Lonchura striata: one gene and its partners. The protein of the gene in region 3 binds, or shares a complex with, the protein of the main gene of each other region. Links are inferred from orthologs where the notes say so. Each region holds a gene or a part of one and is shown on either strand. Other genes may lie near its edges. The genes, in order: RRN3, POLR2K, TAF1C and TAF1D.

What was found.
Region 1: TAF1C (region 3) and RRN3 share a complex: the UniProt entries of both Homo sapiens proteins name them as parts of the pol I pre-initiation complex. The link is inferred for Lonchura striata from reciprocal best matches to the Homo sapiens genes TAF1C and RRN3.
Region 2: TAF1C (region 3) and POLR2K share a complex: the UniProt entries of both Homo sapiens proteins name them as parts of the pol I pre-initiation complex. The link is inferred for Lonchura striata from reciprocal best matches to the Homo sapiens genes TAF1C and POLR2K.
Region 4: TAF1C (region 3) and TAF1D share a complex: the UniProt entries of both Homo sapiens proteins name them as parts of the transcription factor SL1/TIF-IB complex. The link is inferred for Lonchura striata from reciprocal best matches to the Homo sapiens genes TAF1C and TAF1D.

What each region holds. Positions count from the first base shown.
Region 1 is NC_134618.1:8,938,844-8,946,740, forward strand, and holds the start of RRN3 (RNA polymerase I-specific transcription initiation factor RRN3), read left to right. Parts: upstream 1-4,615; 5' UTR 4,616-4,692; intron 4,693-4,819; 5' UTR 4,820-4,830; coding exon 4,831-4,923; intron 4,924-5,406; coding exon 5,407-5,463; intron 5,464-6,300; coding exon 6,301-6,390; intron 6,391-6,477; coding exon 6,478-6,607; intron 6,608-7,059; coding exon 7,060-7,119; intron 7,120-7,576; coding exon 7,577-7,640; intron 7,641-7,897. Other genes in the region: transmembrane protein 238, read left to right, coding at 847-856. UniProt on the Homo sapiens protein: Required for efficient transcription initiation by RNA polymerase I (Pol I). Required for the formation of the competent pre-initiation complex (PIC).
Region 2 is NC_134603.1:21,794,199-21,801,759, reverse strand, and holds the start of POLR2K (DNA-directed RNA polymerases I, II, and III subunit RPABC4), read left to right. Parts: upstream 1-4,489; 5' UTR 4,490-4,677; intron 4,678-6,595; 5' UTR 6,596-6,598; coding exon 6,599-6,659; intron 6,660-7,368; coding exon 7,369-7,461; intron 7,462-7,561. UniProt on the Homo sapiens protein: DNA-dependent RNA polymerase catalyzes the transcription of DNA into RNA using the four ribonucleoside triphosphates as substrates.
Region 3 is NC_134642.1:39,697,893-39,705,092, reverse strand, and holds the start of TAF1C (TATA box-binding protein-associated factor RNA polymerase I subunit C), read left to right. Parts: upstream 1-4,185; coding exon 4,186-4,317; intron 4,318-4,405; coding exon 4,406-4,499; intron 4,500-4,646; coding exon 4,647-4,753; intron 4,754-4,840; coding exon 4,841-4,936; intron 4,937-5,017; coding exon 5,018-5,088; intron 5,089-5,174; coding exon 5,175-5,422; intron 5,423-5,496; coding exon 5,497-5,607; intron 5,608-5,719; coding exon 5,720-5,843; intron 5,844-5,953; coding exon 5,954-6,025; intron 6,026-6,144; coding exon 6,145-6,280; intron 6,281-6,374; coding exon 6,375-6,503; intron 6,504-6,649; coding exon 6,650-6,824; intron 6,825-6,938; coding exon 6,939-7,076; intron 7,077-7,200. UniProt on the Homo sapiens protein: Component of the transcription factor SL1/TIF-IB complex, which is involved in the assembly of the PIC (pre-initiation complex) during RNA polymerase I-dependent transcription.
Region 4 is NC_134604.1:39,303,283-39,310,492, forward strand, and holds the start of TAF1D (TATA box-binding protein-associated factor RNA polymerase I subunit D), read right to left. Parts: upstream 3,096-7,210; 5' UTR 3,030-3,095; intron 2,746-3,029; exon of another isoform or gene 2,689-2,745; intron 897-2,688; 5' UTR 885-896; coding exon 649-884; intron 546-648; coding exon 98-545; intron 1-97. Other genes in the region: BKGD (ester hydrolase C11orf54 homolog), read left to right, coding at 5,866-5,923. UniProt on the Homo sapiens protein: Component of the transcription factor SL1/TIF-IB complex, which is involved in the assembly of the PIC (preinitiation complex) during RNA polymerase I-dependent transcription.

The DNA of each region.
Region 1 (7,897 bases), on a different chromosome or scaffold from region 3:
CATTCCTTGCTGATAGACCAAATCCTCTCCCCATCAGGAGATATTTATGAACTTAACCAAACGGGTTAAACATGTTTGGGCAGATATTGCCTGAGAAGGAAAAAAACCAGCACCCCCCACACACACATTCAGAAACAAAACAAAACAAAATCCTAAAAACAAAACAAAACAAAACAAACCCCAAACATCCTCTCTTTATTTTCATTTGGAAAATTTGAGCATTAATTTTTGAAATTATGAAAGGAGCATTCTACATTGTTCTGATTTCCCGTCTTAAACATTATACAGTAGACAAAGGTGAGAATTTTCATTACATGGAATGTTTCTATTAAAGGAATAACAAGTAGATTAGAATCCTCAAGCCTGAAAAGAGATGCAGAATATAAAGTGTTCTAGAAGTCTATGCAGTCACTGTGGGAAAGGTATGAAGTGCTTGTCTCCCAAGGCAAAGCAGGCACAAACTGTCATGTGCTATGTAAGTGAAGTATGTGATTACTTGACATGGGACAGTGGGACAGATAAAAATTTACTGATTCAAAAATTCAAAGGACAAAGCAGAAGATACATGATAATATAAAGATAATATATTTGGCTAAGGAAGACCTGGGGCAGTTGATATCCTGAGGGGATATTACTTGTGTGCCATATTGTTATGCCTTCATTGAGACATCACACTTGGCCACCATTGGAGATGGGCTGGTGACTTAATGGATCTTTTCTTTGGGTTCCAGTTGGCTGTTCAATATGAGGAAAAGTACTTTTAAGACTGACTTTAAGTAACAGTTTAGAGTTATATTTGTTCTAAGCCTATTTTGGAGTAACCATTTCTTCATGTGTTACCTTCAGGATCTGTTGAAGACATGACTAAAGATGTTACGGCCCCAAAAAGTGGGGAAAATGCTGCAAATTATGGAAAGAGATTCCCTACTCAAGACAGTAGGATTCTCTCATTGTGGAATAACCTCTGCAAGCATTGTGGACTCTCCATAAAATGGACACGTGGAGCCATATCTCTGCCAAAAGCACCTATTTCAGTGTTGGACTGGCTATGCTTTGAAATGGTGAAAAAAGATTCCACAAAATCTTTTTGAGAAGTGACAGCTAAAGAGAATTGAACCTGATTCATTGAAATGTCAGTGCAGCTTGTCATATGGTTGGTTTTATTGTGTTGTTTCAATTATTATTATTTTCAATAACCTGAAAGGTTTGTATAAAAAGCTCTTGCACAATGAAAAGCTCTTGCACTGTTTTTTACCAAGGTCTGGAAGTTAAACTTACTGTGAATTTTTATAATGCCAGTGCAATACTTTTGTTTGTAAGGGTGCTTTTAAAATCTCTATATTAAATTGTTGACGCAAAGCTGCAAATGTAGTAGAAGTTGTTTATAGTGTAAATACACAATTTATAGCATCTCTTGTAAAAAGTTTCATTGTTATTCTGAAATAACCTGGAATCTGAGACTTTATAAGTAGACCCCAGTGATGTTGGTATACAAGTACATTCTTTGTAGTAACAAACGATGTAATATGATGACACTTGCAAGAGTAATTTTTAGTCCAGTGATGTTGGAAACTATTTTCCTAATGCTGAAGCATTTGAGAGAGAGAACATGACCAAAAGAAACTCTGTTGATTAACAAGTACCCCAAGGCATTGTAAAGCATTAACAAACAGTACTTGGAAAAAGATTTATATTAATGCTAGTGATACCTAAAACTGTGCTAATGATAAAATTGTGTTGAGAATTTCCTCAGGAGTTCTTCTGGTTTTGAAGTTACACTAAGAGTTTGGTGCCACCATCAGCAAATACTGGTAGGGCTTAAAATTTCAATGCACAATTGTTCTATGCCACACCTCATTGAATACTAAAGGTGGAATTAAGGAAAATATTTGCTAAGAACACTGTGGCTGTACTTCCTTATGAACTCCTGAAATGTCTTTCAGTGTTTTCTTGTAAAATTACTAGAGTAACTTCTTTTCTTTGCATATTCTCATTTTAAAATGCTTTCCAAATGCTCTATCTTTTAACAAATTCAGAAGAACACTAAACTTGAAGATCTGCAATGTGATTTCTCCTTTACTATCTGCAATTTTTAGGAGGTGTATGCAATTTGTTTCCTGCTTTTAATGGAACTGCAATGTGACACCACTCCAGTGTTGCAATGGCCTGATTAAAAAAAACCCAAACAAACCTGTAGATCAGTTTTCATTTGCAATAATTTTTTGTTCGTTTCATTTTTCCTGAACAGAAAGAGATGCTTTTTCTGATTCCCCATTGTTTCACTTATAAAGTGAATTATGAGATACACTGTTTAATAAGTGGAATAAATTAAGCCAAAACTCATATATGTAGCTCACATACTTAGTTTGTGAAAACCAAAATTTTCTATTAAAATTTTTCTATTCAAGTGTTCTACTCTATTAAAGCAATAATAATTGCTAGAGTGAATTGAGCAGGCCTTTGCATTCATTGTATATTACGATGTAATTAATCAAATCCAATATCAGTACTTAATGATTGTTGTATAAGATGGTAGCTAGAGTGCAACTTCACTCAAAAGTTATGTAGAATTCCAACTAGTTTACTAGTATGAATAGTATATATTTTAAAAATGAAATATAGGAACTGACCCATCAGTTAAGGAGGATGTTAAGCACAGAAAAGCACTAAAGCACTAGAAGATGGTGAGACCAAATAATTAGACAAACAGTACTTGCTGTGGAGCAGTGATATGATACCTATTGTAAGCATTGTAACTATTTTCTTTTTGAAAATGCATCCAGTTACTCTTACATGCAATCAGTTTGCCTTCTAAACAGAAACTGGGAATCACCTGCAGTTACACATTAACAAATATTTAACACTATTTTAGTTTCCTTATCAGCTCTGCCAATGCAGCACAAAGTCCATTCAAAGAACTTTTACATTGTTGAGTGGAAGGAAGCTCTTGGACATGTTTAGGACTGCTTGCTGTTGCAGCTAAAAGAATTCCTCTAGCCATTGAAGGAAGTCTTATGTGTGCTGTATAAAATCTTAGGCAAAATCACAAAGAACCAAACTAGTTCCAGAAGGGTGGCTACAGAAGTCTTTTGCTAGTTAAGTCTTAAAACTAGCTCAAAATGTCATCCTACATTCCACTAAAGGAAAAATACCAACCTCCAGCTTCTAACTATGTAGATGGATTAAATGCTTGTTAGACTTTAAACGTGGACTGCATCTAATGGAAGATTTCATGTGGTGTATAGTATCTACTTAAATGGGAATATCTTCATCATCATCAAGATTATATTATTAGTAATGCCTACAAAAATCTGTTTGATGTAACTTGTGAGAGTTGCTGGGAGTGACATAATTATTACAGTACCAGTTTGTGTAGAAAAGAAGCATAAGTGTATACAAAGTTGAGAGGGCTAAGGTCAAATAATGTCACGTGTTGCTGTAGCTAGTTTGTGTGAATGGGTGAAGTAAATTTTACACATTCAGCCAAAGTAAGCTTCCAGCAGATTGGATGTTACTGAAGAACTACACAGGAAATTCAAGTCTCTGTTCATACTTACCCGGGTTGCTGTGGCAGCAGAATTTGTGTGTGTATACAATCTTTCAGGAGCAAAACCAGTTACTAGCTCTGACACAGAAAAGTCCATAACACATTTTGTTTAATGACTGGTGCTTTAACATAGACCCAGCCTACATAGGGAGGATGAAAACATCCAGAAATCTCACTGGAGTTCCTGTGCCTCTATTCTAGCAAATCCATTATTACTTCCCAAGGTCAAACACTGCTTAATTTAGAGCAGATTCTTGGCCCTTTTTAATCTCAATTAAGTTGTTTGTACCATTTAGTTTATCCCTTCGGATTGCAGTTTTTAGTTGATAACCCGGGCTGGCCGTGCCCTTGGTGTCACCCGTGCTGTGAGGGGCTGCCCGCGGCTCCCACTGCTCGCGGCGAGCTGCCCAAGGGGTCGGGGAGCGCTCGCCTGTGAACCATCCCGGGGTGGGCTCGCTCCACCATGGCCCTGGGGATCAATCTGGATTTCTGCTCACGCACCCCGGGACGCTGGGATCGCTACCGGGAGTCAGTGTAAACCCAGAACGGTGACGAGAGTAGAGCTTCCCGCTCCTCTTGCCTGGCTTCACCACGGTGGGCGGGGGCAGCGCCGCGGCTGCTCCTTCCCAGCGCTCCCTTCCCGCTCAGCGCTGCCGCCCGGCGGTGCTGCTCCGAGCCCGCTCGGTGCCGCCGCCCGGCGGTTCCGCTCCGAGCCCGCTCGGTGCCGCTCTGTCCCTCTCTGGTGCCGCTCTGTCCCGCTCGGTGCCGCTCTGTCCCTCTCTGGTGCCGCCCTGTCCCTCTCTGGTGCCGCTCCGAGCCCGCTCGGTGCCGCCGCCCGGCGGTGCCGCTCTGTCCCGGCTCGCTGGTGCCGCTCTGTCCCTCTCTGGTGCCGCTCCGAGCCCGCTCGGTGCCACTCTGTCCCTCTCTGGTGCCGCCCTGTCCCGCTCGGTGCCGCTCCGAGCCCGCTCGCTGCCGCCGCCCGGCGGCGCGGCGCGGCGGTGCGGGGGCGGGCCGCCGGCGCGGTTTCCGCCCGGCCGCGCAGTTTCCGCCGGAGCGGCATGTGGCGGCGCGGGCGGCCGGGGCGCGCCGGGCGCGGGGCGAGGCGCCGCTGGCCCCGGTAGCGCGGGCGCGGCCGCCGCCGCAAGGCAAGGGCGGGCAGCGGGAGGGATCCTGGGAGGGGAACGGCGGCCCCCGCGGCTCTCCCGGCTGAGGAGGGGCCCGAGAGGTGCCCGGGCCTCCGAGCGGTGCTCACGCGGCTTCCCCTCCCCGCAGGCGCCGTGACCATGCTGGGAGCGGACGAGTTCATCAGCTCCCCGCCCAGGAAGACGGTGCGGTTCGGGGGGACCCTGACCGAGATCCTGCTGAAGTACGAAAAGGTGACTGCGGCTTCTCAGGGGCCTGCGCTGCGCACGGACTGCTGGTTTCGGGGGTCATTCCGTGAGAACACTCGTTTCGCCTTATGCAAGACCGTGCCTGAAGCCTTAGGGAAAAAATTGAAGGCGGCTGAGCGTTGTAGGCTTGTGCCAGGCAGAATTGCTGTGCGAGCAAAAAGATTCCCCCGTGAGTCAACCTGCGTGGCTGGGTGAATGTAAAGCCTGGCTTATGCTAAAGTGTGCACAGGGATCCAGCTGTGTTTGCAGGGAGAGCAGCTGAAAATGAGCCAGCAGCCTCGGTTGCCTTCTGGGATGACACCCTGTTACTGCTGCTTTCCTGTTACTGTTCAGCTTTCTTGAGCTGGTTGTCTTGTATTCTTGATGTACCTGTTCAATAGTTGGTTGTTCAGATGCATTGATGAAATTGGTAGTTTTTACTGAAGGAAAAAAAAAAAGTAATTTATTTATTTTTGTTTCCCCTGCTAGGGTGACACTACAGATTTTGAATTGTTAAAACATCAGCTATCAGATCCAGACATAAAGGTAAGACTTTGATAGTCAGGGGTCTGATGATTTAAAGTTTGTCTGTCTGAGTGTAATCACCAGACAAGTCATTCTGGTGACTACACAAAGCCTTTGCTTTAAAGATTTAAATTTGATTAAACAGCATTTTTTTCTTTGCAAAAACCATCAGGATTAAAACTCTAAATGGAAAAAAAATGTCTTTTTTGTACGCATACGTATATGCAGGATCTTTATAAATGATGTCTCATGCTTACTGACCCTGTTCTACCCTTGAGTCTCTGTTCCAGATACCATCTTTTTAGGTCACTGATGGTTGATTATGGAGACTCTTCTGTAGATCAGACATGGTTTCTAATTTTCATAGCCTTAAAGTTGCATCGAATTTTACCTTCTGTTCTCACTAAATCTGATTTAATTAGGCAGTAACACACATATGCATTTAGTAGTTATACCCAGAAGTATTGTTTCACAGCTCTTCTGTATAGCTACGAGCACTAGCCATGTTTGCTGTTTCAAGATTTGAGTGTCCCTTCTGCTTAAACTAGAGCAAAAGAGAAAAGAAAATGATGATGGAATACCATTTCTTTTATGTTCTGTGTGAGGGAGGTTTCATGCCTTGCTTAATCTGACTGAAACCTTCATGTCAGTCTGTTGGTTTAGGAGCTGGCATGAATGTATTCTGCATTCAAGAACTTTCATTGGTGAGGGCACAAACTGAATTTCCTTTCATGTTAGTGTGAAAACAATTTCTATTTACAGCCTTAATCTTTGACTTCTAAGGATTTTGGTATTTTCTGCTAATAGGTAGTATTGTTTATTGAAATAGTTAACCTATTTTTTTCTGCTGATTTAAAGGATGCCCAGATCATTAATTGGCTGCATGAATTTCGAGCTTCTGTTGCATATTTGACCAAAGAGCTTGGACAACTGGTCAACATTTTGCTGGTAAGTATCTGTTTGCTACATGGGAAGACTAAGAGTTTAGTACTCAAAACATCCTTCTTTGACATCTTGATCTTTGCTTACTTTTAGAAGCTACCATGGTTGAGAAGGAGCCGAGAGGTAGTGGAAGAATATCTGGGCTTCCTTGGCAATCTTGTGTCAGCACAAACTGTGCATCTCAGGCCGTGCCTGCGGATGATCGTGTCACAGTTTGTCCCCCGTAGGTTACTTCTCTCTTATCGGTCTTTGTTTGCTCATCAAAATCCCTATATAGATAAGTTCTGTATAAACACAGTCCATAACACAATTAATTATTGGGTTATTGAGTTTTTTCATGTTGACTGTCATACAGATAGTTTTCTGTACCTAGATTTTAGAGGATATATTCTGGGTGCTAATACAGATCTTGTTCTGAAGATGTCTTGGAAATGAATGAACTGTATAATATCTTAACTACTAAAAAACCAAAAGCTGAAGTGAAGATCATGTCAGATGTTCTCAAGAACCTCCTAGTTCTGTAAATAACAGTCTTTAAGAAGGTCTTGCAGCTAATTTTGACGCTCTAGTTGTGCTGGAGACTGTTGTTCAGTGTATTTGCTACTGAATTTCTTACCTATAAGATGTATACAATTGAAAAAAGATGTAATAATCTTTTTTTTTTTTTTTTACTAGCTCGAATAACCATCAGAGAAGATGATGTGGATATTTCAGATTCTGATGATGATGATGAAAGTGAGTATAAAGTATATAGATATACATGCTGCTGTAGTGCCTTTACCGAAACAGTATCCAGTGCATGTTGCTCCTTTTTTACAAAATTAATTGAGCTGAGTTCAAGTAAAACATAAGAAACATCCTTAAATTCCTAAGTCAAAGACTTTCTTGTACTCAAATCAATGGTGTGCTGACCCACTTATTACTTTGAAACTATTCCTGTTGGTGCTGTATCTGTAGGAATAGAATGCATAGGGAAACATTCCTAGACCTAGGTTGTTTCAAAGCCAAAGAAAAGTTAGTTGTTTGCTTTCTATTTTATTTATCTCAGTGTACACCCCCGCAAAAGAGCATTTTGGCAAATGCAGTTTTCTTGGGAATCATTCAATTGTGTAGTTGATATGAACTGTTTTTACTGGTTCCTGATTTACTTTTCTGTAACCAAGTGCATAAGAATTCTTTTTTCTTTCTCTAGACATCTCTGAAAACTTTGATACATGCCACAGAGCATTGCAAACTGTTGCAAGATATGTTCCTTCGTAAGTACAGAATCCCTTGGGTTTGTGTGCCCTTTTCTTGCAGATTTAAAGCTTGTGAACTGATGGGTTTTTTCCTATCTTAATTGGAAGCATAACACTTCATTTCATTACATGAATCTTCCTAGTATTCAATAACTGGTAGACTGCTTTATACAAACATGGAGTTTCTGTCAGGCATCAGCCGCTGAAAATCCTGTTAACAGAAATGGGAGGTAGGAAAAGTGGTGTTGATAGTGGCTTCTGTATTCTGTACTCTA
Region 2 (7,561 bases), on a different chromosome or scaffold from region 3:
TTTATGTGCTCTGTGCACTTCTCATATCTATTATTAATTTTGCACTTCTCAAATCAATTTACAAAGCAACTGCAAACTTTCTGGGAGTTTACTGGACACAATAATTCATATTCAGAGACCCAAACTAAATTTAGGACAGGATTCACAAATTTAGAGAGGGAACAATTTCTAACAAGTTTAGTCTCACCAAGCACCCTAGAGAAGGAAGAATGTTGGTTACTAGAACCAATGTAAGTGGTGCCTCCAACTTAGACAAATTCTAGGATGGAAACACCTGTTCCTAGTAATTTGTGTTCCTCAGTAACACACAGAACACTTATGCATGGAACAAGACATTTTTTGCCTTTTTTAAAATCACTGTTCACCACTGCTTACAAAAGAGATAAAGACAAAGTTTTGGTGATACAGAAGTATTTTCTCTGTTATTTAAACAGATATGGTATCTGTAAAAAAGACTGCTCTTTGACCCCAAAGTCATTGATACCTTCCAGGTAATAATACTGAAGATGACACAGCCAAGTCCTGTCTGCATGATATGGGCCACTTACCCTAATTTGTGAAGCAAATCAAGATCTTCCAATGCAAAGGCGGTGTATTCAAAGTATTGCTTACCCCTAGTGATAACCTGAAGTGAGAAAGGATGTGGAGAGAAAAGAGAGAGGTCCAAGAGAAACATTACCCAGCTGAGACAGTTTTCACTCCACAAATATGTGTTAACTGCAATGCCTAATTACCCAGCAACGGCGATAAATGAGATGTAGCTGAGGACCAGCACCCGAGGGTCTCAGTCACCTGGGATGCCGGACACGAGCAAAGCAACCGCTTCGCCCTCTCGTCCGGCAAACCGGTGGGCACAGGAGCAGAGCCTGGAGGCCGCCCTGCCACCGGGCGCAGCTGAGGTGGCGGCGGGGCACCCCGAGCAGGGCTGCGGGCGAGGAGCAGGAGTGAAGGCGGGCTGGAGGAGCTTCAGGAGCTCTCGCCGCCCGGGCCGGGCCCGTTGCCCTTGGCGAGGAGCCGCTTCGCTCTCCCCAGCCGCACCGGCCCCCCGCGTGCGGCCGCCGCCGCTTTCCCTCGCTCGGCTTTGAACTACCCGCCTCACCAACCGCTGCCTCCCCGCCCCCGCCGCGCTCGGCCCGGCCGGCAGCCTGAGGAGACCGCCCCTCGGGGACGGGAGGGAGCACCAGCGAGGCTTGCCCCGCTCCTCACTCCTGATACCGGGGCCCCGAGGCCCCCGCCGCGCCCAGCCCACGCTTGAAGCGCCCCTGAGTCGCTCCTGCCCCTGCTGTGCTTCCCCGGAGGCGCCCGGTGAGGGTGGGGTTTTCCCGCCTCTGCCGGAGCCCGCTGCGCTCCCGAGGGCGGAGGGCAACGGCGGCGGGGGCGCTGAGGGGTGGCTCGGGGGTGCCTGGGGCATTCCCCGCTAATAACCCTTATCTGCGCCGCAGCCTTTAATCTCGGGTTATAAGAGTACTAGTTAATTTGAGTTAATTAGCTTAATTACCTTTTTACCGGATAGCCCAGGACTAAAACAGTCACAGAGCGTTTGTCAAGTACATCACCTTCAAAGCAGTCGGTGAAGGATCCCCGACTCCAGCACCGCACAGGTCCTCATGGACCCAATAGAGTCTCCCCAGGTACTTTTTGCCAGAGATCCCGGGAAGGACCATTCTCCCTGGCTACAGTGCAGAGTACTTATTCCGCGCCCTGTCCTGTCGTGAATGGCCTAAGGGTTACTCCTGTTTAATTTGTTAAAAAACTTGTAGTAATTCAGAAACTGGCTCCTGGATTTTGCTGTGGTTTTAGTTTTTCTGCATACTAAAATAAACTAAAACGAGAAAACCGCCAAAACTAGACTACGTGGATGGATGTTTGTCCTGGGCTCGGTAAGGATAGCGTGATTCTTCACACCGGCGGGATGGGGAATGGCAGACCTGAATGCGAGACCTAAAACTGGCTCTTAAAGCTACACCTATATTTTAATATGCAAACTCCCGGCTTAAGTAACGTAACTCTTGTTCGTGGGTTCTGATATTTGTCAGCCTTCCCCTTTGGCAACTCCGCTCTTCCTGGTGTGAGGCAGCCTGAGAGGGGGCCGAGGAAACAAGGGCTTAAAAGTTCCCGACCCAGAGCCGGCGGAAACTGACTTCGAGGGAAAGAATATCTGTTTATTTGACTACAAGGTAACAGTTATGGCTTAAAAGAGAAAGGCTCTTGGACTATCTCCCCCTTCCTTTTTAGAAGGAGAAAACATTAGAAACTTCTTTCAAGGTAGTCGAAGATTTCTGAAAGTGCTTTCTGTAATACCGTCTGCTTCACAGGAACTGAATAAAATTGTTTTTCAAATATTTGTATTTATTTCTAAAATACCTTCTCAGTAAAATTGGAAGCTTACTAGTGAGACACAGCCACTGCAAGCTCTGTCTCCGTCACTCAAATCTGCATGGATTTATGCGAGCTGGATCAAAAATATCCAAGAAATTTAGCAAGTCGTAATTGCGACATTTTATGCAATACACAGAAGTGTCACACTACAAAGTGTGTTAAAAAAAAAAAAGTTCCCATCCCAAAAAACCACCGCAACAAAAACCAACCAAGAAAAAAAAACCCAAAAAACAACACAAAAAAAACCCCCCAAGACCTGAGAACGCAACTTCTAACAAGTGAAACCAGGTGAGACGTTCTGAAATAGTCGCACTGCGCTCGGTTCCGGCTGCATTTCCTTCCCCTGTCCAAAGTACCTGTATCCCTGTGCTTTCCCCATCTCGACACACAAATCTTTCTTCTCATTTGCCTGCCAATTCCCCAATAACTATTTCACTTTACAGTACAGTGGGAATCTCTCAGACAGTCTCCACGCTCTCTGCTACTCTAAATCCAACGGAGCATCTTTAGGGCTGGAATTTACCAGCACATGGGAGTGGGACTTAGCAAAGCGCTCCTCCCGTAAGGGGCGGATTTTATCGGAAACTGCTGAAGTGAAGCTGTAAGATCTGGTAAAGCATCCCATTTTTCCAAGGGAATGTTTAAGGGATACCAATAATAAAAATATTTACATTATTTCTTTATTAATAATGGAAACATTATTTTCACGGGATTAACCGAATCTTTCATGGAGATATTTTTAGTAAGTCCTTTTAAATTTGTCCGTTTGACAAATGAGTTTTTAAAATACCAGTAAGCCTAGAGAAACAATAACCGGGTGTGTGTGGGGGGGGGTGCTTTTTTTAGGAGTTGGAAATTTCTTACCGTGCCTTTATCGATAAAGAGCCCAGGCTGTTTCTCTCCTCTGTTTAAACCTCTTGGTACCCACCTATACCCACAGCTCCGTAGCAGAGGAGAGGATGCAAGTAGTAACCTATAACAGTACCTCTGCCTTTTACAAACCATTTTTCTTGCCTGTGCTTTATTCTGGCACTCCAGAGCTTTATTCTTTAAGAGCAGTGTGAAGAAGCAAGTCTAAAGCCATTACTGTGATTTCATTACGTTTAATTTAAACACAAAATGAGGGAAACTGCAACTATTTATTATTACCTGAGTTCGTTTTAGGTAAGTTACATGTCCTGTATGAAGGTGATTTGCTGGTAGGAGAACATCAATGAATTACAACTGATAAAAGCTCATCCTTATTAATTTGGATGCTTAGGAAACAATTTTTATTCAGTATTCAGAAACAGAAAGAGATCTTTCCTTAAACTAGGGAATCTTTGAATGATCTAGTAGTTTAAATTGGCATATTCATAAAACATAGTATTCGTTAAACATTGTGGGAGGTGGGGAGAAATACAGCAAAGATTCCTAATTCTACAAACTGTCAGTCGAAGATTCAAAATTCCTACCGCAAGCGAGGTGGAACCACTGACAAAGAGCAACCGGTGTAGTTTCAAATCTTGCTTGCACTATTTTAGTTCAGCACATCGGGGAATACCGACATATGAAGTTCTCTCATAATAGAACCTTACACATAAAATGCGCAACATATATGTTTGTAGTATATAAGTTTGGCTTCATGTGGGTAAATATGATACCGACCACGTCATCAAAATATCAAGATGCCGGCTTTATCCACGAATTTTAGGTAAAATGCTTCTGAAAACAGAGAGGACCTTGAGGCAGAACACCTCGGTGGATTAAAACTCCGCAGCCGTAAGACCAGACCTGGTGCGGGCTATTCTTTATCCCGAGTATGTTGAGTACAGCTAAATAAAATAATGAAAATACCGGGGACCTTGGGGCTAGTGTTACCTAACCATGCAGCTGCCTACTTTCTTCACACTGCTATTCATATGGAAGCTTGTGTCTTAAAATAATGTGTGCCTTTCTTCTTCTTTTGGTTTGTTTTTTTTTTCTTCCCTTTTTTTTCCCCCTGTCTTTTTTCCCGCGGGTGGCTAGCACCCGGAGCGGAATACCGACTCCTTTCTCAGCCGCGCGGCGCGCCCCGCCGCGGAGGCCGGCGCTGGCGGCGGGGCGGAGCACGGCCCGCCCCCGCGGGCGCTCGTCATCAGCGGGCGCCGGGGAGGCGGCGAGCCCGCGGAGCTGCGGACCCGGTGGGTGCCTGCTCCGGCCTTCGGGTGTCCCCTTCGCTGCTGGGCGCTGCTGGCGTGCCCGCGGTGGGCAGGGACAGGCCGGAACCAGGCTCGTGGCCTTCGCTTCTGCGCGCCAGACCCGCGGACAGTGGAGGAGGTCGGAATCGGGGCGGGATGGGGAGCCTGGGGCCCGTGGGCTGTGCGAAGGGCTGTAAGCCCTTCTTCGTGGGCTCTGCGGGACGTGAATGAGCGGGTTGGCTTCTTTCACGGGTGCATAAGAGATGCTCGGAGAGAGGACCTCATTAATATGCAAAAATATCTGAAGCGAGAGGTGCCAAGAAGATGAAGCCACGCTCCTCTTGGTGGTGCCAAGCACTAGGACAATAGGCAGCAGGCAGAAACTGAGGCATTGAAAGTGTCGCCTGAATCGGAGGAAGAACTTCTTTACTGTGCAGGGTTGCATACTGGAACAGATTGTTCGGAGAGGCTGAGGAATTCCCCTCACTGGAGATGCTCAAGAACCATCTGTGTGCTCTCCTGTGCCGTGTGCTGTAGAGTGATCCTGCTTAAGCAGGGAGGTTGGACCAGATGACCGACTTCGGTCCCTTCCAGCCTTTCCCATTCTGTGATTTGGTGAGGTGCTCTTGGCGCATGGTACCCCCACGTCTCTGCAGTGGATCCTGGCTGCACCCCAGCACGTGTTGGTGCATCACTGGGCCTGTTGGCTCTGTCAGCTTGGTGGCACATAGGGCTGTAGGGTGTGTAAAGGCCAGCTAAGCTATGGCACCTCCCTGCAAAACACAGAACTTTAGTTCACTGCTGCCCTTTGCAGCAGTATAATTTTGCTCCATAAGCAGCACTAGCCCAAGGTATTTAGCTACAACTGTGATCCACCTTAGTTCAGCTCTGTGTTTTAGAAGAGTCCGTTGTTTTCCAGTGGTAATTGGTGACTGCACATATCTTAGTGCAGTATGCTGACACAAAAAACTATAGCACATGTGAGTTAAGATGCCACTATGAATATGGTGTAGCATACTTGAAAGCTGTAGAAGTCAATGGATTTTATCAAGTTCTCTTAAATGGAGTGACATAGTGGGAGTTTTAACAAGATGGTTTGTCAAGTGTTGATCAGACTCCTAAAGTATGAAATGTCCCTGTCCTGTTTTCAGTATCATAATCTTCCCAGCTGAACTTATAATGAAACAAATTCTGAAGATGAGGGAAATAATCTTTGCTGTAATGTTAAGCAAAAGCATCTGAGAGCCATTCTCTCATGGGAAGCAAAGGAAGCATCAAGAAGGCTATTTACTGGCACAAGGGTTAGGAATTCCTCTATGTCAGAACAGCAATACGGAAAACAGCAGCCTCAGAAAACCTAATAGGAAATAATTAATGTTCTCACCTAGACTTGAATTGGGTGGGGGAAAAAGTGTTTATCTATGTACAGTAACCACCTCAAAATTCATGGTTGCATGTACATTTACATGTAGGATAGGATTACTTAAAACTTGGAGGAGTGTTTGTGGAGTATATGCAACTATTTAGTCTGATGCCATGAAGAAATACTTGTCTTCAAATATGTCTGAACAATCAAAGCGATTATAGGACATTAAGAAGTATTTGGAGAATAGCATTGAGTTATTACTCTTGATTTGGTAGGATTTGAAGGGTTGAATTTTATCTCCATGACCCCTCATTGTTCAGGGTTTTTTCCCTTTTGTTTTGCTTTTTAATTTCTGCTATTTTTCTACCTACAGTCTGTTCCCAATATTTCTAATACCTTAGAACAATGAGTTAGCTAGTGTGTCAGAGAGGGAGGAAAGATGACAAGGCTTACCATCTTTGTTAGCACCATTGTTACATGAGTGGCATATAAGAAATTATTGAATTTTATGTTTCCAGCAGGGAAATTCCTAACATTGGGAGGAAGGAGGAAAGAAAGTGATTTCATGTTCTGTTATGTTTAGCTTGAGATATTAAAATGATTGTGTATGCCTTGGGAAAAAAAAAAAAAAAACCAAACCCAAAAACCCCAAACCCAAGCTAATGTGCATGTTGTGTATTTTTTGTTTTAGAACATGGATTCACAGAAGGACGTTCAGCCTCCAAAGCAGCAGCCAATGATTTATATTTGTGGAGGTAGAAAAAAGACATTTAATGATTTTTTTTATTACTTGTTACTGGAGATTTAGTGTTCTAATAATGAATAGTGCTTAGTCATTATACTGAAGGGTACATAGATACAAATACTTGCAGTGTATATCCTGATGATGTTTAAAGCTTTATGCATTGATGGTAACACATATATGGAGTACATATGCAGTGTTGTGGAGATAATTCTCTAGAGCTTGTGTTGCTGTGTGGAGCTCCTCGATCTCTATATGTTTTATTGACAGTGCTGTTAGGGCACTCAGCTTTCCCTGAAGTACAGTAGTCAGATTCTCTCTTACCTGTAGATTAATTGATGACTTAAAAATTGGTGGTTTTCAGGTATCCCTAGAATATTATGTCTTTTAAGACAATAGACTTTGGGCTTTGGAGGGATGAACTAAAATTTTCATTAGTAGATGATCTAGTATCAAGTGTGGAATGTGTTCTATGCAGTAATATTTGGGTGATTTTTAGCAAGATTTGCTTTTATCTTAAATATAAGTGAAGCTTACTTTTTATTTTCTCTTTTTTTTTCACTGTATCTTATCATTGAGCTTTTGATACAGATTCATTACACTTGCTATGTTTGTTTGCCACAAATAAGAATTTGACTGTCATAACTTCTCAAAGTTATCTGTGCATTAACAGTGCTGTTCTTCTTTGCCCCCACTTCATTTTTCTTCCTCCATAACATCAGAATGTCATACGGAAAATGAAATAAAGGCAAGAGATCCTATCAGATGCAGAGAATGTGGCTACAGAATAATGTACAAGAAAAGGACCAAAAGATGTATCCTTTTACAAGTACACTTGAGTGCCGTTGGAAAGCTGTGGATGGAGACAAGGGGAAACAGAATGTAAGGGAAACAGAATAGAAAACTCAAAAAATT
Region 3 (7,200 bases):
CGCGGCCGGCGGTCAGCACCGCGCACAGCTCCCGCTGCCGCCCCCCCCGCTGCACCCTAGCACCGGCAGCCCCCGGCCAGCTTCCCCCCTTCCCCCTCGAAGCCCCTAAGTAACCTTCCGCACCCCGTTCACCAAGCCATCTCCTTGCCCCATATCCTGCTCCTGGTCTTATACTGCCGTTGATGTATCCCACGCACATCCTGACGCCCCGCTGGACACACACCCCCGTTTCTGCAGGCTGTCCATCTCCGCTGCTCCCCTGCACGCACACAGCCTTCTGCCCTGCATCTGCAACTCCCCGGGCCCACTCATTGCCCACGCACACGCCTCCCTCCCAGGGTGTTCCACTGCCTGTGCACTGCCTGCATCCTCCTCGCACGCACAACTCTGCACCCCACTGCTCATCTGTCTCCATGCCTCACTGCATGGGTACACCGTGCCCCACTGCACGCACATCCATGCATCCCATTCCACAGACATCCAGTACCCTCTACACAGGCATCCCTGTACCCCATTATGCAAACACCCCCCTGCAGACGCATCTCTGCACCCATCGCACCCACCTCATGTCCCAGTGTAGATGTACCCTGTGCCCCATGGCACCCCACACCCAACTGGGGACAGCTCTGTACTCTGCAGCATATCTGCCCCAAAGCCCACCGCATAATGGCCCCATCCCTTGTGCCACACTCACCGTGTCCCGTCACAGGTGCACCCCACATCCCAGGATGCCATCCCCCCATAGCTGCGTCCTTATGCTCCATCTCACCCACACCCTGCCCCACTGCATGCAAACCTCACATCCCATTGCTCATGTAGCTCATCCCAAGCTACACAGGTACCCACTCCAAGCTCACCCCCTGTGCCGCACCACATGGACCCCCGCAGCCCACACCTGCAGCCCTTCTCCCCACCGCATCTCACCCACTCCCTGCCCCGCAGCAGGCACACTCCGCATCCCATTGTTCGTGTACTTCACACCCATCCCAAGTTCATCCCTCTGCCCCACGGCTCCTCACGGAGCCCTGTGACTCACCTCCAGCCTTCCTGCCCACCGCGCACACTCCCGCGCTCCATTCTCACCTGGCCCACCCCACTGTGTGCACACCCCACATCCCATTGCTCGTGTACCTCACGCCCACCCTACACGTTCATCCCGCTGCCCCCGGCACGCTGTCCTGTGCTCCTCCGCACGGACCCCCGCACCGCGTGCCTGCAGCCCCCCTGCCCACCGCACACACCCCCGTGCTCCAATCCCACCCGCCCCGCTGCGCGCACCCCCCACACCCCGAGGCTCCCGTACCTCACACCCATCCCAAGCTCGTCATCCCTTGCGTCCCGCCGCACGAACCACCGCTCTCCGCTCCACCACCTCTCCCACCCACCGCACACACCTCCTCCGCGGTACCGCCTCGCCCCCGCCGCGCCGGCACCCTCGACGTGCGCTCCCGCACGCCGTCCCGCGCTCGCCCCGCCGCCCCACGCCCGCGCCCCCCGCCCCGGTCTCCCGGCGGCGCTCACCGGCGGCGGGCGGCGGCAGGAGCAGGAGCGGCAGGAGCAGCAGCGGCAGCGGCAGCGGGAGGCGCTGCCCGCCGCTCCCGCCGCCCCGCCGGGCCATCGCCGCCGCCGCCGCCGCCGCCGCCGCGGCTGCCGTGGGGCGCGCGCCTCCGGCCGCCCCGCCGCGCACCGGCGGCCCTGACGTCATCCGCCCCGCCCACCGGGACAGCCTCCCTCGTCGCCATTGGCCTCCGGGCACGTCAATCACCGGCGGGCGCGCCACGCCCCGCCCGTTCCGAGAGACAATTCCTCCCCTCCGATCCCCTCGGGATGGACCCGGCGCTGACCGGGGCACTAGGGGACAGCGACACGAGCGGGAATGGAGATGGGAAGCTGCGGGAAAGGGGCACCGCGTGGAACCCGAGATATGGGCCGGGAACTGGGGCACAGGGCTGGGCACAGGGACATGGCGCTGTAACGGAGATAGGAGCCGGGAACGGGGGCACAGGGCAGAGACACCGTCTGGAGCAGGGACACGGGCTGAGACCAGGAACAAGGCGCTGAGGGCAGGAACATGGTGCTGTAACTGAGATACGGGCCGGTAATGGGGTCACAGGGCTGGGGGCAGGGACATGTCTCTGGAACTGAGACATGGCCAGGAAGGGGTCACAGGGCTTGGGACAGGGACATGGTGCTGTGACAAGGATATAGGCCGGGAACAGAGATATGGGGCTGAGGGACAGGAACATGGGGCTGCAAACAGAAACATAGGTTAGGGGAGAGGGACAGAAACAATGACTGAGGACAGTGATGTGGGTCTAGGGGATAGGGATACGGGTCTGGGGACAGGAATATGTCCTGGGCACAGAAATATGTCCTGGGTACAAAAATATATAATGGAGAGGGACATGGAGTTGCTGGCATGCCCTGGAATTAAGGAAACGGATGGAAGGCAGCGAGGGCTACCTATGGAGCTGGAGGTGGTGGGGCTATCTACCCCACAGAGGGCTGTGTAGGGGGGTCAGGTGGTTTTCTATCAGTGGTTACCACCTTCTAAAAGCAAATTGTAGCATGTATCTTAGAGAGGAGGTGTCCCACAGAGGGGGTCTGGGCACCAGACTCAGGGATGCAGGATCCTCAGACTGCAGGGATGAGGCCATCTTGACTGGAAACAATCTCATCATGCTTTCCCAAAGTCCCCCAACATCATCCCCAGACTCTCCTGACATCACCATCCTCCTTGGCCATAATGGAGAAAGCAGGTTACTACTCATGGGCATGCTCCTCTCCCATCCTATGCTCCACACAGGGCACCCTGGGAGCTGAAGCAGGAGCAGCCACCCCACCATGTCCCTAGCCTGACTGCCCAGCAACCCTCCCCAGAGCACAGACCCCCATGCAGGCATGGCTGGAGGTTCCCTCCCCAATGCAGACCTCACCAGCACAGCTCCGGGGCCAGTGGCCTCTGACACAGGGAGGTAAAAGGACAGTTGTCCCTCAATGAGAAAGCTGGTCATGCTCTCCTTGGGAAATGGACTGGGGAACTTGTCTCCCTGCCAGATACTCTCCAAAAGCTCCAGGATCCCATCAGAACCCCATGGGACTAACATGAACTCTGTGTGGGTTCCCATGGGAGCTTGGTGGGTCCCTCGTGGGGAGCCAACAACCACCTTGTGGGGAGGAAGGAGCACAGAGCTGGGGTGGGAGTGGGTTCACCAAGGCCAAGCAGGTGTGAGGAAGGGCAAGGTGGGATTGGGAACTGGCATATCCACAACCTTCCAGGAGCTGACCTTCAACTCCACAGCCCTCAGATATCTGAGACTGTCCCATGGCCCCATACACTCCGCTGGAGTGTGGGGTGCCCCATGGCCACACAGCCGGGGCCACGGAAAAACAGGTGTGCCTCTGGCAGGTCTCACAGGGGGGTTTCACTGCTCTCGAGGCGGGCAGAGGGAAACAATGCCCGTACTCCTGCCCGTGCCCCGGCGGGGTCCTGACCCAATAATTCTCCTGTGCCTGTCCTGCCCCGGCCCTATCACACTATTCCCTGTGCCTGCCCGGTCCTGCCCCAGTTCCACCGCTTCCCCTACCCATCCCGTCCTGTTTCCATCTCATCCCACCATTTCCCTCCGCCCGTTCCCGTCCCGGTCTTACCACTTCGCTTTGCCCTTTCCCGAATGGGTCCCACCTCTTCTCCCGCCTGTTCCCGTTCCCGTCCCGTTCCCATCCCAGTCCTACTGCTTCCTTCTCTCTCTCCCGTTCCCATCCCAGCCGCACTGCTTCCCTCTCCCTCTACCGTTCCCGTCCCGTTCCCATCCCAGTCCCACCGCTTCTTTCTCCCTCTCCCGTTCCCTTTCCTGTTCCTGATCCCATCCCAGTCCCACCGCTCCTCTCTCCCTCTCCCGTTCCCGTTCCTGTTCCCAATCCCGGTCACACCCGTCCCCGCTCGTTCCCGGTTCCCGTCCCGCTGCCGGCCGTACGTTTTTACCCTCCGGCCGCCAGGGGGCGGTGGCGCCCCACATGGCTGTACCGCCGTCGGCGCTCTGTCCCGCGCTGTTCCCGGGCCGCTGATTGGTGAGCGGCGGCAGCAGCGCGCGGTGACGTCAGTGGCGGTGGCCGCGCCATCCCCGCCGGTGGCGGGAGCGGCGGCCCGGCCGCGTGCTGCCGCCTGTGCCCAGTGCCGCGGCCATGGAGTTCCCGGCCGCGCTCTTCCCCTCCTACTTCTGCGCCGGCCCGCCGCGGGAAGAGGGCGGCCCCGCACCGGCCGCCGGCTGGGGCGAGCACGGGCAGGTGCTGGAGGGTGGCCCCGGCCGCCGCCAGGTGAGCCCCTGCCGGGGGTCCCGGCGGGCCGAGGGAACGGGCAGGACGCTCATGGGCCGCTCTGACTCTCCTCCTTCGCTCCCCGCAGGTGCAGCCGGCGTTCGTGCCCCGCCGCGGCGCGACGGGCGAAAGGTGGGAAGCCGCCGACGCTGCGGCCGTGCCGGTGCTGCTGCCCAGAGCGGGTGAGAGCCGCGGGAGCAGGAGGGAGCTCTCTGCACGGGGGCTGGGGGAAACATGCCTCCCACGTCTATCGCTGCCGCTGCCCCGCAGTGCTGAGCGGTGACCCTGTGCTCGTGTGATGCCAAGCCACCTCTGCCTTCTCCCCACAGGCTGCTGGATCCCCTCGCCTGCACCTCAGGACATCCTGTACCGCAGCAGCCTGTGCAGGAAGCTCCGGATAGGCAAGTCTGGAGCCACTCTGGACTTTGCCAGGCAGGTGGGATTTGAGGCATTGCATCCTGGCAAGGAGCTATTTGGCAAGGACCTTTGCATGCACTGACCCTTTCTCCTTCTGCCCACACAGCTGGGCCATTTCTTTGTGGATCACCCAGAAGATGCTTTTGGCTCCCTGGGGCGTCTGCTGCACAAGAACTTCTATCTGGGAAACGCCAAGCTGAAGGTCACTGTCTGTCCAGGAGTAACAGTGCTGCTCCCCTCCTTTCCCCTTGCCAGTCTCAATCTCTGCTCCCTACTCCTGTAGAGACCAGCCCGGAATAGCACCATCCGGATGACAGCCCTGTTGGAAGACATTGACCGCCTGGAGGCCCGACGGTGAGTGTCCCTCTGTCCCCTGCCCTGCAGCAGTCTAGGGGAGTTCCTGCTCTGTCCCCCAACCTGATGCTGTCTATGCCCTGCAGCGGCTGCCCCCGGCAGCACTTGGCCTCCCGCCTGCGCTGGTTCTCCCACCTCTGTCGTGACTGGCTCTTCGAGGTGCCGCTGGGACTGCTGGCAGACTGCCTGCATGAGGAGCTGACGCAGCAGTGGTCCAACCTGCTCTTTGACGACAGCCTCACTGGGGGGGCACTGGCCTGGTTGCCCCCTGAAGACGGGGGGACAACCAGGGGCTGCCTGGTGTACCCTGGAGGGCAGGCTATGAACCACCTCTGTATCCTTGCCCATGGGATGACCCTGGGGAGGGAAGTGGGGGTTGTGTTGCACCACCCTTAGCCAGCATCCCAGATTTCCAGGATGTGGTGCTGGAGGGGCTGCCCCACACCCGAGGCTCCCCAGTGCAGTTTGAGCTCAGCGGGCGCATCCGGCAAGTGGCTGCAGCCCGTGTGGATGGGCAAGGTGAGCCAGCCCCAGCATCCACATCTCAAAGCAGACAAGATGTAGGGAGGAGGGGCAGCAGGGCACTCCTGGGATGTTGCCAGATTACATGCCAACTCCTTCCCCCTGACAGATTTTGTTGGGGTTCGCTCAGACTATCACTGTGGTGTTTGGAGGGTGCCGGGCAAGACAGGGGCAGCTCCTGCCCCACTACAAGTGATCCGCACCGATGTGCCTGCCTCCTGCCTCACTGTCAGGTGGGTGCTGGAGGAAAGGATTGTGCGTGGGGGGTGCTCTGCTGGCACAGCCCTGCTCTGTGTGGTGAGTTCTGTTGCACAATGATGATGCTGTGTCCCCTGTCCTGCAGCCCTCACCTTCCCGGGGAGCTGTCTGTCTGCACCCAGAGCGGGACTGTCTACCTCTGGAGCGTAGAGACCGGGTGAGATAGGGCATTCAGGGCTGTCTAGGGACACATGCAGACAGTGGAGTCTCGGGGGGTGGGAGGCCCAAGTGACTGGGGCAGCCCTACCCTGTGCCAATACTACTGTCTCCCCACAGGCTGCAGAAGCTCCGCCATGACTCCCAGACCATGTTTTTTCGGGACCATTCACCCTGGCGCTGGAGTGACTTCACAGCTCACCCACGAGTGCTCAGCTGTGCTGACCGCACAGGCCTGCAGTGCCTGGATGCCCGGGTGAACTTGGGAGGGTGGGTGTGTTGCTTGGAGCAGGCAGGGAAGAGGGTTCCACAGCCCAGAGTGCTGACTGCACCCTGTTCTACTGTTTCAGGCCCCCAAGAGATGCCACTTCGACTTGTTCAAGGTGGGCGAGGAAGCTGGCTGTCAGCAGGGCGAGCGTGTGGTGCTGCCCATGTACCTGGGTAGGGCTCACCCCTCACAGTACCTTGTCACCACCCAGGTGAGTCCCACCACAGCTGGGAGCTGGGGAAGACACGACACACAGTTGTGTCTCCCAGTGCTTATGGGGCATGAGGATTTTCCAGTGAGGGGAGCTGCCACAGTGCGTTGAGGTGTGTCCTGTCTGACCCAAGACTTCTGTCTTAGTTCTCCGTGTATGTGCTGGACGAGCGGTTGCCACTGGTGCCTGTTCTGAAGTGGCCACATATGATGAAGGCCCCTCCACTCTTTGCACACCTGATGCCAGGGAAGCCCGAGAGGAGCCACAGGGTGCTGCTCGGTGCGTCCCGCACCCAGGAGCTGTTGCTGTTGCAATACCGTGGTAGGAAATCAAGCTCCAGAGCCAGGGCTGCTCTGTACCCATGTCCTAGCTGCTGGGATCAGCTGCTGTTCTGGCACCTGTGCTAAACAGACGGTATTTGGGGTGTTTCCTCAGGGGGCAGCCAGTCGGCCTGTCAGCTGGCTGGGACTCCGCAGAAGCTGCACAATATTGCAGGGTGCCTGCAGCACCTGCCCACCCAGCTCCCACACCGCCACCACCTGCTCCAGCAGCGCCTGTCAGCTCCAGCAGCAGGTGAGTGTCCCACTCTGCCCCAGGCTGCAGGTCCTGGTGAGGGAGAAGGTGGAACAGAGTGAAGTGTAGCCTTTGTCATGGCCTGGCTGGAGCGTGGCTGAAAAACCAAAAGCAAAGCCCCGGA
Region 4 (7,210 bases), on a different chromosome or scaffold from region 3:
ACTGTTTGTCTTATTTTAGTAGAAACACCACAGAGCCCATTTCAATTCACAATTTTTAGACTAATAAAATGTTTATCCCACAAAACAGAGGGCTTACCTCATAGCCAAGAACCATCTTTAAGGGAATATGTTTCTCCCCATAATGTTTTTCAACAAAAGGAAATTGAAAACCTCTGTCTAGAAGCCTCCTCTTTTGTTCCTGAGGTGAGGCTGTCAGTGGGGGCCTCCCTGTGGGCATCTGTGTGCCCTCATACTTTTTTTTCTTCTTGTTCTTCCGTGCGTAAATTTTGTATTTTCGGTGTGCGGCTGCTTTGAACTTCCTTCCCCTGAAGTGATAGGCAAAAATGGCCTTCAAATTGAGTTTTGACTTCTGCTGCTTGGAAACGTCTAATGAATTCCCTGGACTTTGGGGAGACCATGAAGAATCTGAGGAGCTTTCATTGTCAGCTACCTCTGTAACAGACTCATCTTGTTGCCTTGAAGATTGAGATCTCCTTTTCTGCTTTGAAGCAATGGAGCACTCAGGACGAGCAGCAGAGACATCACTGAAGAAGAAGAAAGTATTTACTTTCAAAAGAAGGTACAGTTTTATGACACATCACACAGGTTCTCCATGGGAAAAATTCTGAACTAGAGATAAAAACTCACATTTCTGAATCACTGCTGATCAGTAAAACCTCAGCTGAAGCTGCTGATGCTTCACACATGCTGTTAGGATGATCTGAAGACTCCCCAGGTGCAGCCACCTTCTGCCTTGACCGCTCTGTTCCTGTATTCCTTTGCCATGAGTACATCACAGATGGCTCCTGCGGCTGATGGCTGATCAGCTCTTGCACATCAGAGTAATCAGAGCCAGATGCCTGGGGTTCATCTGTATCAGTCATGTTTCACTTTGCCCCAAAAGGAAATGAGAATTGAAGAAACTAAAAAAAACTTACATTAATCAGGCAACAGACTTTACTCCACTCACAGTCACAGGATAAACTTACAAGAACAATCTGGAGCGGGTGCTTTCCTATGAACCATAACCAGTTATATTCTGCATACTAACATTTAACTCACACCCACTTATTCAAGACACTCATATCATAACTGAGGACAGAAAAAATTTTAGAGTCCTTTTAGTTCAGCTCTTGACCACAGGAAGGCAAGCATCAGTGGTCCAACAGATTGGACACCAGAGACTCACTGAGATTAATTCTGAATATTTTAACCCTCTCCCTACTAGGGTTAAGTTTTCCTCCAAACAAGCACACATACAAATAGCCAATGGATTCTCATACTTGTAAGGATAATGCAGTTTTAAGTTATACATAAATATTTAGTTCACTGTGGTTTAAAAACTTTAATCCAAGACTGTGTCACCATAAGAAGCAATGCCATTTTCCTTCTGTTCTTTTGTGAGCTGCAGGATACCTAAAATCTCCTGCTCTCAGAAATCTATTTATCTATTTGCTCACTGGTTCTCAATCATCATAGAGACCAGCTCCAGAACTAAAATGTTAATTTTCACTTGAATATTCAAGACAACACAGTCTAGCTCTTCAGTGCCCCAAGTCTATACAAAAGGGACTATAACATACAGCAAAGTTTTCCTCTGTATGTGCTTAGTTATTTTACCAGTTATTTACTAGCCCTGTAGACCTGCATCTTTTTAATTTTACTGTGCTTTTTAAGAGCTTCACAAACTCATCATCATACCCATTAATATTTCAAATGCAATTACACAGTTCAGCATCTGAAGACACTAGAGCAGAGCTCATCCAATGTCCTCACATAACCTGCAGCAAATGATCCTGAGGGTACATCAACCAAAGGATTAGGCCCAGTCAGCTTGAATTTACAAAAGGCAGATCCCAACTGACCCACCTGATGATCTTCTATGACCAGTGTATAAGGAAACACCGTGGTTGTTGTCTGTCTGCCTGCACTTTAGTAAAACTTTGGACACCATTTCTCATAGCATTCTCCTGGAGGAACTAGCTGCTCGTGCCTTGGATGGGTGCACTGTTCATTGCATGAAAAGCTGGATGGATGGCCGGGCCCCCAGAGTAGTGCTGAAGGGGGTTACATCCAGCTGGAAGCTGGTCGTAAGTGATGTTCCCCAAGGATCAGTGCTGGGGCCAGACCAGTTTAATTTCCACCGATGACCTCAAAAAGGGGATTAAGTGCACCCTCATTCAGTTTGCAAATGACACCAAGCTCGGTGGGAATACTGATCTGCTGGAGGGCAGGAAAGCTCTGCAGAGGTGTCTGCACAGGCTGGACTGATGCCAACTGAGTTGAGGTCCAACAAGGCAAAGTGCCAGATCCTCCACTTGGGTTACAGCAGCAAAGACCCTGGGGGTGCTAGCCAACAGGAGCTCAGTATGATCCAGGCTGTGCCCAGGTGGCCAAGGCCAGTGGCATCCTGGCCTGGATCAGCACTGGTGTGGCCAGCATGCCCAAGGCAGGGATTGTCCCGCTATACTCAGCACTGATGAGGCCACACCTCCAAATCCTGTGTTTCATTTCGGGCCCCTCAAGACAGGAGAAGGCACTCGCACGCTAGGTTCACGATGCCTTTGCAGGCACACTGCTCACACTGGCTCACCCTCGGCCTGGCAAACACAAAGCCCAGAAACAAAACCAGCCAAGGCCAGAAGCAGGACAACGCCCTCTGACCGCGCAGGCCCTGCCTAGTACTCACAAGGCGCAGCTCAGTATCCTTCCAGGCCTCTACCACAGCTCCGGCCACGCAGATCCCTTAGGGAAGAAAACAACCACCTAAACTGGCTGAAGAACCTGCCAAAGGCGCCAAGCACGCCGCTCGCCAGGCTCGGCTTTTCAAACGCCGGCACGCACCGATCACACGGGCCGGGGACACCCCGCCGGCAGCGCTCCCGCGGGGCCCCTCACCCACCGCCGCCACACGCCCCAGCCCCCGGGGCACGACTCCACAGCGCCCGGGCTGTCCCTCCATTCCCGGCTCCCTCGGTGCCGGCCCCCGCGGCGCGGATGGCGGCGGATCCGCCCGGCCGCGGCACCCACCTGGCCCGCCGCCGCCCCGCCGCAAAGAGAGAACAATGGCCGCCCGCGCCTTAAGTAGCGCCGGGAGCTCGCGAGAGGCGCGCGGGAAGGAGGCGGGGCGGAGGATGGCGCCATGCCGGCAGTGGCCGCGGGGCGGCCGCGCCCGGGGGCGGAGCCGAGCCGAGCCGAGCCGAGCCGAGCCGTATCGAATCAAGTCCTGTCTTGCCTTGCTGTGCCAGTCCCGGCGGCAGGGCAGGTACGTGCGGACGGGCGATAGCGGCGGTCGGTGCGCGGCAGAGCTCGGGCAGCTGCCGGGTTCCCTAGGCTTCCCGCCCGGCGAGAGGCTCCGGTTCCTGCTGCGCTGCTCGTCCTTCCCCGCGCTGCCCAGGCTCCTCCGAGCTGGCTGCTCCAGCCTCAGCAGCCCCTTCCTCCCCCTCGCAGCTATGCCGGCTTTAGCGCTCCCTCGCTCCAGGACTCTTCGCTGTCTTTGCCTGCTGGGGTGCTCCCAGTCCCTACGGACCCCAGCCTCGCCTAGCACACCTGTAAATACCTGCCGTGATTCCCCAGATCCCAGCCATTCGAACAGCTTCTGCTGCCGCGCAGCCTTCCCCTGCCCCGTACGGGATCTCCTCGCACCGCCCCAGGAGAGAAATACCGCTTCTGCCCCTATGGATGTCTTGGTGTCATCGCTACATTTCTCTCTCACAACTGCCGTCTTCATTTTTTTCCACTGATATTTCTTCCCCCACCACCTCCCTCCCCGATTCGTGTCTACCTGCCTGTAATCTCTCCTTTTTGGCTTTAAGTCTCCAAGCTAATTTCAGTTCAGGTTTTGACAATAGACTATCCACATATATAATCAATCTAATGGTTCACATTTCATCTGTATTCTCCTGGCACCTGGCTACTCTCTGTAATGTTTTCTTCCCACTTCAAAGGTAGACTTTTAAGTCTTTGCATACTTGTTGCCTCCATTCTAGTTGCACCATCCCACATCTATAACAATTTTATCATCCCTTTAGCATTTGTGTTCTTCCTTTGAAAGTCTTCTGTAGCGATTCAGTGTCACTGCAACCCTCTGTGACGGATCTTAATTGCATGCTGTTGTTTCGGGTTCTCTCTGTCCCCACACTACACAATTCACTCCCCTGTGAATATTTGCAGTGGTGGGCTACAGATCTACCCTTTTGTGTCTTTCCTGGTAAGAACAACTGCCTGCCAATCAGATTGGGTTTATTATGCTACATCAAATTTTTCCACAGTGTTTCCCTCCTTTCTTGATTGTGGGGAGCTAACTTATACTGGTATTGTACAAGTCTTGTCCCTGCCTTTTGTACAGCAGCAATTATAGCTTGCCTTCTCAGGCTGTTTTAGGACAACCAATGTGTTGAGCATTGGCACAGCCTCCTCCTGGATGTGGCAAAAGGTTCTTGAGGTGGTGAGGATTGTCTAAAACAATGCTCCCAAAGCCATGTTCTTACATTACTCCCTTTCTTGGTGCACACTAAAAGTCTTGTGGTATGATTCACTCCGCCTGACATGAGGCTTCTACCAGAGGCACCAAATCCAGCCTGCTACTTTCCAGAGCCAGAGGAGGGATGAAGTCAACTGTGGAGATAGATAGGACCAACTAAGATGAGAATTACTATACACAGGTTGCAGTCATTCTTCCCTTCTCTACTGCTTGCTATGCAGTAACTTGGAGTGGCTGAGCATTGGGCTTAAAGATTTCAGTTAAGTGACTGCTACGATCTCCCTACTCATCTTCTTTTTTCCACTGGTTTGGTGGTTTTTTTTCCCTTTATGCTAATGGTGTAAGGACAGTTACATTTTTTGATAGTCATAAAAGTTAGGATTTTTTAAAAACAGAAGCTAAATATATATGTAAGCAGCTGTCTTATACAATAGTCATTCCTAACAAAGACTCAGGTCTAGGAATGTAGTTAGGATTTTGGCTTTTTCCTTCTTCCACCTGAGATCTGGGTAAATAGGACCCATTTTATTTTTTATTGCTGTGTATAGCAAGTATGTGGTATGTGCCTAAGGAGTTAATGATTGCTGCAGCAGATTTTTAGGTAGTGTACAATCAGTTGTTTTTGCCCTGACCTAGTGGCTTGCCCTTCTAGCTGGCTTTGCTGTTGCATGGCTGACTGCAGTGCAGTTCATTTCTGAAGGGGCTCTTAAAGTCATGTTCAAAACTTTTTGTTATAGTACACACTGGGTTTTTAAGACACTTTTTGTATGGCTACAGAGTCTGATACTGCAGAATTTGCTGCTGTTGATTTCTATTTTGCTGCTAGCCTGTTCCTCTCTGGAAGGGGAAACACATGCCCAGAATCAATTGGAGACCATGTCACAGCTGCGGTTGAAAGTCCACCATCCAGTGCTGGAAAAGTAAACATTAAATTCAGGAAGACCTTAGGAGGCAGTTGATGTGCTCAGGAAAGCTCAGGTTTCTTTCAAAACTTTCTTGTGACTCCAGCCTTACAAAAAGACTCCCAAATCTCCTGACCACTTGAACTGCATTCAGCGTAGGATATGTTTTCTTTACACCCAGTTGTCAGCTTGAGGACTAGTGTGTGTAATGCTCTGAGCCAGCTATAGGGCTGACAGACACATCTTCTTCCAAAATGCATACGAAATTTAATGGTGCTATTGAAGATGTCAGTGTCTCCTATGATGGTAGAACTACAGTTCTATTTTTTCTATGTATTCTAGAGTGAAATTGAAAAATAATTAACATGTTGAAAGGAGCATGTTTAAATTGTTAAACTATTATCTTTGCTGGCAGACCACTTACTCTGCAGTGTGCTGTACTGTAACTTCTTACCTGAAGAAATCAGCACTGATCAGGAAATGGCCAAAGTCGAAAGGTTTGCTTTTCATGTCCCAAGTCTGGAGGAGCTTGCTGGGGGTAAGTAATGCAACACGTGACTTTATACATTACTTTATACACTACTTTGTAATGTACTCTTCAAACTTATCTTAAAACTCATACCAAAGTCTTTCTACAGCTAGGACATGCAGAATTCCTGCTTTTAGCACACCGAGAGGTAAAAAACAGCACTGTTTCTCTATATAATGAGATTATTTTCTTAGAGCAAACAATGAGTCCTCCCCAAGGGCCCAAGATAAATGCACAGGCTCAATTCCTTTAAAACTGCTGCATGTGCAGATTTGTGTGCAGGTCATGAAAGTTTGACCACTACACACCAAACTTCTTTACACATACAGAATTATCTGTCCTCCTCTATCCTCTAATATTTCTTTCTTTTTCAGGACTGCCCAAAACATAGCTGACAAGATGCATTGTAGTAGTATGGCAGATGACAAGATGCAGTGTAGTATGGCAGATCCTCTTGCTTGAACATAGTTGGCTCCTCCTTTTGTGATTGCCTTAGAACAGGGCTGCAGGAAACATCTTCTGTAGTTTACTTCTTTCCAAAGCCTTTGCAAGATCTACTCAGAATAACAGAATGGTTGAGGTTGGAAGGGACTTACAGGTTTGGCCCAGATGCTCATGAGCTTCTTTTCTTGCCCTAGGAGGAAGACATTATTCCAGCAGTCTCTCCCCTGCAGCAGATATACTGAAGTTTTTTTGTCTTTCAGATTGATCCTCAAGTTCAGTTTGCCACTTTCCCAGATCTGTGTCAGTTTGACATTTCCATGTGTTGAGAACGTGTGGTCCCAGCAGTGCCCTGGGTGGTTCTCAGTGCTTTTCTCATCCAGTCAGATGGGGGCAGTAGGCCAGGGCTGCTGTAGACCTCTAAGCTCTGCAGAGAACACCATGTACTTGCAGTAGAACAGCTTGAAAGAGTATCAGAAAAATTTCATCACAAAGCAGAATTTTCCCTTTTTTCCCCATCTGTCCTGAGGATCTCCTGTAAACTGGGAATTGTGTTGCTGGGAATTGTTCAGATTTGGGGTATAATTTGAAGAATGCCCTTTTACTGTCCTTGTCCACTTGCCAGAAGGTACCAAGATGTATTTAGAAATGTACCAAGTACTGGCTACTACTTTTGGTCAACAGCTTGGTAGATCTGATCTTGAGAGGTAAGGTATGGCTGAAACCCTAACTGGAGTAAACAAAGGCAGAGAAAGACTTCTGCATAGATAAGGAACCACCTGATTTGAGATCACACACTGAATGTCCTGTTCTTTATTTTGAGACACCTGTCAAAGCAGACCCCCCAGGCATGAA